Linked DNA regions of Mus musculus. The main gene of each other region encodes a partner of the protein of the gene in region 2 in a complex. Links are inferred from orthologs where the notes say so. Each region holds a gene or a part of one and is shown on either strand. Other genes may lie near its edges.

Region 1 (4,045 bases), on a different chromosome or scaffold from region 2:
TCAGAGGGGTGACCCAAATGGGCACCCAGACTAGGAAGTGTCCCATCCCACCTCCAGGAAACAACCTGAGTGGGGTCTGAGTCACCCCAGCTGGGATGGCACCTTGAGGGGAACACCCTAATCCGGGGACACCCTTCCTGCCACTTTGCCATGCTATATTTAGGTTGGGGGGATGGGTGCTGGGTGACCCCCCCCCAAGGCAAGTGTCAGCTTTCCTCCTAAATATAGCTCAGGGTTAGGGGAACTAGAGTCCCAGAGTGGGGGCATGGCAGAGTCAAGGGCCCTGCCACCCAAGGAGCCTGTCTGCTGCAGAGACACCCTGCTTGAGGTCTCTCCAGCATCCTGCCTTTCTTTCTGAGGGGGTGATTTCCTCCCTCTAGGGCCCTGTTTCTCTGGGTGGGTTTTTAAAAATTATTTTATTTTATTTCATTTTATTTTATTTTTTATTTAATATATACCAGTACACTGTAGCTGTCTGCAGACACTCCAGAAGAGGGCATCAGATCCTATTACAGATGGCTGTGAGCCACCATGTGGTTGCTGGGAATTGAACTCAGAACCTCTGGAAGAGCAGTCAGTTCAGTGCTCTTAACCGCTGAGCCATCTCTCCAGCCCTCTGGGTGGGTTTTTGTCCCCGTGTCTTATGGTCACAGTTTGCTGTTTCGCTGGGCAGGTCACAGTTCTGAAAGCCCATCATGGTCTCCTCACTCTAATTACCTTGAAGTGTTCTTATCCACTCCAACCAAGTCTTCCTGGTCCCCGGCCAAGAAATTCCAGGATAGAAGACTATGTGGGGGAGCCCGGACAGTCACTGTCTCCAGGCATTGAGCCTTATCACTGCACAAGCCCAGCTGGCTAATGTCTGGCTGGGAGACCCAGGAAGGGAGACAGGAGCGGAGGGTGGGAACCTGCTCTAGACACCATAGCAATTCCCCGGTCTGAAGGGAAGGGCTGAGGTTCTGAATACTGGGTCTAAGGGAGGAGGACTGGGGTCTGGACCCGAGTCTAAAGGAGGAGGGCTGGCGCCTGGACCCCTGGGTCTGAGAGAGGAGGGGCGGAGTGTGGACCCCAGTGTCTGATGGAGGAGGGTTACAGCCTAGACTTCTGGAGCTGAAGTGGTCGAGGCCGAGCTTCCAAGGTGCCGGCCCGCGCGTGCTAGGCGGGATCCGCCGCCCCTCCTCCGCCGTCGGGCGCCGCCCCGCCTCCTCCCAGACCCAGGCCCTCCCAAGCGCAAACGGCGAGCAGCCGGCGAGCAGCGGGCGTCCGAGCTGCCAGCGAGCCGGAGGAGGAGCCGCAGCGGCGCCAGGGGCAGCCGGGGAGCAGAGAAGGGCGCCCCAGGTAAGAGCTCCTCGCCTCCTCTGGCAGACTACACGGTCCGGGTCGCCCGGCCCCCGGGTAGGGAGGGACGGGGGCGGGGCCGACAGGGGCGGGGTTTGGCGGAGGAAACTGAGGCAGGACGGAAGTCTCCCAGAGGTGGAGCGGGTCCCCTCCACCTAACTCAGGAATAGGGATCCCCAGCCCCATTTTCCTGGATGTGTGAAGCAGGGAATCTCCATTTATGAACACCTTGGAGGAGGGGCCGCAACCCTAGAACCTGTGGGTCTGAGGGAGGAGGCGTCTGGAGTCCAAGAAACTTAGTTTGCAGGAGGAGGCATCTGGGGAACCAGGTCACCTGAGGGAGGATGGTTCAGGGGCCTTGGGCCCCTGGGTCTGAGGAAGGAGGCAGCTGTGGACCTGAACAAAGTCTGAGGGAGGAGGCAGCGGGCACCCGCACTCCCTGTAATGGTGTGGTAAACTTCTGCCCCTGATCACACTCAACACTTCCCATTCCCCCACCTCGGAGCCTGGCCAGCCAGACACTCCAGGTATGCGCAGTCGGAGTCTTGGGCGGGCCCTGGCCTGTCCTGCGAGGAGCGAACATTCCAGGAAGCAGCCTCAGGGACCCAGAGCGTGGGCCGGCGGGGACCCGGGTGTCCAGGCCAGCCCCACCTCCGCCGCGTTTAGTGGAGGACTGGAGGACGGGAGGAGGGGATGTAATCTCTTCCAGTTGCCTCACCTGCCCCTCCTCTCTGCTCCCCCCCCCCCATCTGCTTCTCATCCCTCCAAAGCTGTCACCTGCACAGGGAAGGGGGGCCCTCTGGAGGTGGGCGGGGCATCTACTCCAGGGTACCCTAGGCTTTCAAAGACTCTGGAAAGGGTGGCTTTTTTTTTTTTTTTTTTTTTTGAGAGGTCGCGCCCTTCCCCCATCTGCCTATGTAACTGGTTTCCTTCCTCCCGCAGGTGGTTGCCCCCTCCCTCTCCTGAGATGTCAGGGAGGAGACTACCTGTATCCTACAAAGGGGCCCCACACAGCCTGGGGGCCCCCAGTCCCAGAGTGAGGAGGTGGAGGTGCTGCTGTTGACAGGTCTGGTATTCATTCACCTGCTGCTTTCCAGTCCTGGCCCGGCTTCTAGAATGTTCTAGTCTCTCCATATCCCTCCCAGCATCTCCCAGCAGCCAAGTCAGTCTCACACTCAGGGAAAAACGAGAACGACAGGATCCGAGGGGCTCCTCCAGGTTATAGGAACACGAGGGCCAAGTGGCACTGCACGGATTTCAGATCTTACCCATGCCACTTCTTGGCTGTGTGACCCGGTAGAAAGCATTTCTCCTTGGGTTTGACCGTCCAGCCCTGGCTGGCGTGGAACTCGTGCAAACCGGACAGGCCTCCAACTTGTGGCCATCTTCCTGCCTCTGCCTCCTGGTTGCCGAGGTTACAGGTGTGCATCACCACACCCAGTTTTGCCTTTTTGTTTAGACTAACTGGATACTTATTATTAACCTAAAAGTTAAACAATCCCCAGGTTCTAGAGCATAAGGTATTCCTAAGGTCCTCCCATAGTCTGCCACGCAACATCTGCCCTCGGGTGGGGCAGGAGGAGGGGTCCCTGACTTCCGTTACTCAGGTGTCTTTCTTCTCTAACCACAGCCCTCTTTCTCTTCAGGTGTGCAAGCCATGCTCCCTCGCCACTCCTGTTCTCTCCTCCTTTTCCTCTTCCTCCTCCCCAGCGTCCCCATGGAGCCCCACCCCCCATCCTCCACCCTGCCCCCATTTCTGGCCCCTGAGTGGGACCTCTTGTCTCCCCGAGTGGCCCTGTCAAGGGGCGCCCCTGCCGGGCCCCCTCTCCTCTTCCTGCTGGAGGCCGGGGCCTATGGAGAGCCGGCAGGGGCCCCAGCCAACCGCAGCCGGCGCGGGGTGAGTGAGACCGCACCCGCAAGCCGCCGGGGTGAGCTGGCAGTATGCGACGCAGTGAGTGGCTGGGTGACCGACCGGCGGACAGCTGTGGACTTGCGTGGGCGCGAGGTGGAGGTGCTGGGCGAGGTGCCTGCGGCAGGTGGCAGTCCCCTGCGTCAGTACTTCTTCGAGACGCGCTGCAAGGCCGAAAGCGCTGGGGAAGGTGGCCCAGGTGTGGGCGGAGGGGGTTGTCGCGGCGTGGATCGGAGGCACTGGCTCTCAGAATGCAAGGCTAAGCAGTCCTATGTGCGGGCGTTGACTGCAGACTCCCAGGGCCGCGTAGGCTGGCGCTGGATTCGGATCGACACAGCTTGCGTCTGCACGCTCCTCAGCCGAACAGGCCGAGCCTGAGGTCCAGGCTTGGGAACTGCCCAAGTTGAGGGAAAACAAAAAACAAAAAACCAAAGCTGGATGCTGAAAGGACCACAGGGGTGGCCTGGCTGCTCTACCGTGCCTTATGACTGGGAACTGGAATAACCAAAGAATCAAATCTCTCTCAAATCTCAGTCTGTGTGGAATGTATGGTGAAACCAAATGAGGTTTCAAGTGATGAATAGGAGTTCTCCCGGAGGAACTTGACATTAATAACAATAGCCAATGTTTACTATCTCCTGTTTATCAGACCTGATATATGACTTTGGCAACCATTTTAACATCAGAGGACCCTGGCTCATCAAAACGGACGAGGAAAGAACGCATGAAAAGGGGATGCATGATGCATGCGCTGGAGCTAGGCCTCCATCAGTAGGCTGTTTCTGGTTGCCTGGCACG
Region 2 (4,312 bases):
ATTGATTTTATTTCTTAGTGATGTTTAAGGCTGTGCGAAGACCCAAACATTTCCCCTGACATCATCCTTCTCATTTCTGGCCTTTTGCGGGCAGTTGGATGACTATTCTTATGTCTTAAATTGGACTCCAGCGCATTGTCTTGTGGTGCGTGGAGGACTTCAGAGGCAGGAGATTGTAGGGATCTGGTGAGAGGCGCACTGCCTGGGTAGCAATGTGCACACAGCGCGGCGGTTGCGCATCTGGAGCTGCAGTGCGCCGGTAGCGCAGTTCCTAATGCGGTGGTAGCAATGGCCCGAGGTACCGGAGCGTGCTGGGTTTCTTCTCCCCACGCGGGGGCACCAGAGCCCTCGAAAGTGTCAGGCACTGCGGCGCATCTACCAGATTCCCTTTTAAATGACTGCGGATGTGCGGGCGGTCGCAGCTACAAATGGTGAGAGGAGGCTCAGATCAGGCTCGCGAATGGCCCGCAGCGACCATTTAACTGCACCCGCACGTTTGTCACTCGACCCTCCGGAATCATCTCACGTGTCCCCACTGAGACTCTAGGGCGCTGCCGGAGCCCGGCCTCTCGGTAGCTGGAAGCACATCCTGCCTCGGGCAGCGCGGGTGCAGGGTACACGTTGGCGCACATGCACGCGCGCACACGAACACGCGCAAGGTACGGCAGGGCAGGGGACAGGGGCTTGGGTGCTCCGCGTGCGGGTGGGTGTCGCGGGGAGTGAAGCTGTGATCCTCAAATGGCTGCATCCTGCCAGGTTAAGGAATAAGAGAAGATGATGCGGAGCCATCCATTCCACAGGCCAGGGTCGGTGCAAAGCATTTAGGGAACCCACAGCGCGGCCGGCGCGCTCCCTTCCCACGCAGGGCTCTCTCTGTGGCGCAAACGGCAGGAGAAAGATCCATCAGAGCTACACTTGTGTCTGCAGGCTGTCTACACTTCTCTCTTGGCAGAAACCCCATCAGGAGAGCTTTGGAACCATCCACCCCTAAATAGGTAGTCCGGAACCCGGCAATGGTCCTTGGTTACTAACGTACAGCGCTATATATTTATTTTTGTACGGGGTGTAGCTTGTCTTCCCTATATTTTGGAAATAGCTTGCTTTCCCCTATGAGCATGGTGAGAAAGAAGAACGCGGCGGGGAGGGAGAGGGAAAGGAAAAGGAAAAGGGAGGATTCCTACAATACGAATCAGAGCATTTTTTTCAGAGCCTAACCAAACAGGGCTTCCATTTAAAAAAGGGGGAGCTAGTCTGTACTGCGATGTGGAAGAGATGTAAGAATTAGGGACCAAGGAAGCATCGCTGCATTTTAGATGTACCGGGGTCTAAAGGGGGCACACACACGCACACGCGCACACATGCACACCCGCACAGCTACCCCGCCAAGGTGTGTGCGTGCGCGCGAGTGTGAACTCCCACATGCTGCTGTCTGCGCCTGGCCGCTGGCACCAAGCCTCCTCCTCCCCGCTCGCCCCCAGATTCCCTCCCCTCCGCCTTGCTTTTGTCTGGAGGGTGCTATGCTATGCGTGTGTGCGTGTGTGTGCGCGCGCGCGTGTGTGAGCGTGTGTGTTTTTGGATTTCATACTAATTTTCTGGAGTTTCTGCCCCTGCTCTGCGTCAGCCCTCACGTCACTTCGCCAGCAGTAGCAGAGGCGGCGGCGGCGGCGGCCGCCGGTTAGAGCCCAGTCGCTGCTTCAGCTGCTGTTGCTGCTTCTGCAGCGCTCTGCTCCCTGCGCTTGCTACGGGAGGCCGGGGAAGCCGCGCGGACAGTCCTCGGTGGCCTGGGCCGGCACTGTCCTGCTACCGCAGTTGCTCCCCAGGTGGGATGTGCCGCGCCACCTGCCCACCTCCCCTCTCCCCCCGCGCCCAGCGGCCGGGGAGGATTCTGCAGCATCATTGGGGCCCCAGCGCTGCCGCAGCCTCTTTGGAGGGTCCTTGGCTTGGCCTATGCCATGGAATCTGCTCTCAAAGACCCGTTACCGACTTCTCATGCCTCGGCCTCAGGCTTGAAGGGAGGGCGGGCACACGGGGGGGGGGCACTAAGGGGCAAGTTGATGGCGGGGCGGGAGCTGGGCACTCAGACATTCATTCTCCAGGCTTGGGGTTCAGGGTGAGGAGAGCGCGGAGGGACTGTGTCCCAGTTGGTGGTGTGTGGGGTCTATTAGTCTCATCCATGTCTGTTTGTCCTCAGCCCTGAGGTGCGCACCGATATCGATATTCGTGCCGGTTTAGCGGTTCTGCGACCCAAAGAGTCCAGGGAGATCCACCGAGTGGTGCCTGGCGTATAGGACTATGCAGCCGCCTTGTGGCTCGGAGCAGCGGCCCGCGATGTCCCAGCCACTGTGAACCATTTGGTCAGCGCCAACCTGCTCAGCCCCAGCACCGACAGGCTCAGCCTCTGGTACGCTCCACTCCGCGGGAGGCCACCAGCACCAAGCAGCAAGAGGGCGCAGGGAAGGCCTCCCCCCTCCGGCGGGGGACGCCTGGCTCAGCGTAGGGACACGCACTCCGACTGACTGGCACTGGCAGCTCGGGATGTCGCCCTGGCTGAAGTGGCATGGACCCGCCATGGCGCGGCTCTGGGGCTTATGCCTGCTGGTCTTGGGCTTCTGGAGGGCCTCTCTCGCCTGCCCGACGTCCTGCAAATGCAGTTCCGCTAGGATTTGGTGTACTGAGCCTTCTCCAGGCATCGTGGCATTCCCGAGGTTGGAACCTAACAGCGTTGACCCGGAGAACATCACGGAAATGTGAGTTCCTTTTACTTTTTCTCCTGTCCCCACCTCAGGAATCAGGCAGGTGTATGTTTGGGACAGATGCTGTCCCACACATGGCAAGAAGTCAGAGACCAGAGAGATGGGGTACCTGTCACTTCTCTGTCTGTTTCACTGGCTTACGGATGTCAGTTGGTGAAGAGTGGGACTCTAAAATTCCATATAGACAGAAATATAATCATAAATTCGTATATATTATGTTCCTGGGAAGGAATTCTGCGTGCATTTTCATTTCAAAGTTCTGATGGGTGTGTTTTAGGCTTTCAGTATACGATAATTATATTGGAACATTTTTGTTTGGTAAAATATACTGTGTGTGTGTGTGTTGAGAGAAGTTCCAGTGATATTAACCAGAAAGGAGGTTAAAATTATTCATTTTCAAGAATTGGTTGGAGGAAGTGAGGGTCTCTCCCTTAACATCTTTTCCCGAGGCTTGGAGTTGACTGGTCCTGTTCCCCCTTTTCCATCTCATCTATTGGATTTTGCTTCAGAGATTGCAGCCAGAGATGCTTTGAGGATGCCCTGTAAGAGGAGAAGTTCTGAGTGTCGAAAAGCACTCGCTCAAGAGAGAAAATGCGATCACAGGAAGGGCTAAAAGCCTGGGCTGATTTAATTTGGACCTGATTTCTCAGAGATACGATTTTGAGACCATTTGGATTATAAATCTTAATTGCCCATTGAAAAATTCCCCAGGACTAGGCTAAACAGCAAGCTATGTGCACACTGACGGATGGTAGCTTCAGCCTTGTCCCTAGAAAGGTTACAGCTTGTCCCAGCTTAGTGGAGAAACAGAAATGTGTTTCTTTTCTCTCTGTTGGGTGTCTTGTGACGAATACCCTGCCAAGCAGGAACTCAACCGTCCTTTCTCTAGGTCACCTGTGTTGGGCACACTGCTGTTGTCCCTTCTCTGCAATCTTGCCATTTTATGTCTCACGAACAGAAGGTTTTGTTCATCTGTGTAGAGGATTATAAAGCTAAGTTTCCTGGGTGATTGAGACTGAGAAAGGCAGCCTTGTAAGTAGGGCTTGGGCTGTGGCCTTCCGGTTGGCGAGTGCGCATGCACCCCCTCCCCCAATGTACAAGGGTGTTTTCTGCCAATGCAGCTGCCAGTGCCAAAGGAGTCAAGATAACCTGTTTTGGTTTTTAAATGTAAGTAGGAGCCCCTTCTAATCTTGCCGTTCTGCTACTGATGGTTACACTACAGGCCTCCGGTGTGAGGAAAGAATGGCAGAGCAAGGTGGAGCGTGCAGGCCTGGCATAGCTGAGCCAATCCGGCTGTGAACAGTGGAGACCAGGGTGCTAGGTTCCCAGTCTTTGACAAGTAGCGCAGCAGCACAGTGGGAGGTTAGGGTAGGTATGTGCCTGTCCTGGGCTGGGCTTATCCAAAGAGTCTGTGGCCTTTCTCAGAACTCATGCCTTTCCGAAGGTAATGTCAGTCAGATGGAGGGGCCTTGTGGAAGCAACTCAGAGCCTTTCGGTGGCTGGAGACCTGGAAGGTGCATTGACACAGCCTTTTTAAAAATCCAACGATAGACACCGAA

The links.
Region 1: the proteins of Ntrk2 (region 2) and Ntf5 are in contact, whole or in part, in a crystal structure (PDB 1HCF), measured with the Homo sapiens proteins. The link is inferred for Mus musculus from reciprocal best matches to the Homo sapiens genes NTRK2 and NTF4. Residues at the interface, in NP_001018074.1 of Homo sapiens: Phe291, Glu293, Thr296, Ser297, Asp298, His299, Cys302, Pro304, Thr306, His335, Val336, His343, Gly344, Cys345, Asn350, Thr352, His353, Met379, Gly380, Trp381, Pro382, Gly383; in NP_001382418.1 of Homo sapiens: Gly81, Val82, Ser83, Glu84, Thr85, Ala86, Ser89, Arg90, Arg91, Gly92, Glu93, Leu94, Ala95, Asp98, Ala99, Ser101, Gly102, Trp103, Thr105, Tyr135, Phe137.

What each region holds. Positions count from the first base shown.
Region 1 is NC_000073.6:45,412,451-45,416,495, forward strand, and holds the start of Ntf5 (neurotrophin-4 preproprotein), read left to right. Parts: upstream 1-1,244; 5' UTR 1,245-1,338; intron 1,339-1,412; exon of another isoform or gene 1,413-1,865; intron 1,866-1,875; exon of another isoform or gene 1,876-2,033; intron 2,034-2,053; exon of another isoform or gene 2,054-2,143; intron 2,144-2,280; 5' UTR 2,281-2,404; intron 2,405-2,984; 5' UTR 2,985-2,995; coding exon 2,996-3,625; 3' UTR 3,626-4,045. UniProt on the Homo sapiens protein: Target-derived survival factor for peripheral sensory sympathetic neurons. May promote ameloblast differentiation and subsequent reduction in proliferation of ameloblasts.
Region 2 is NC_000079.6:58,806,194-58,810,505, forward strand, and holds the start of Ntrk2 (BDNF/NT-3 growth factors receptor isoform a precursor), read left to right. Parts: upstream 1-1,503; 5' UTR 1,504-1,820; intron 1,821-2,191; 5' UTR 2,192-2,535; coding exon 2,536-2,747; intron 2,748-4,312. UniProt on the Homo sapiens protein: Receptor tyrosine kinase involved in the development and the maturation of the central and the peripheral nervous systems through regulation of neuron survival, proliferation, migration, differentiation, and synapse formation and plasticity.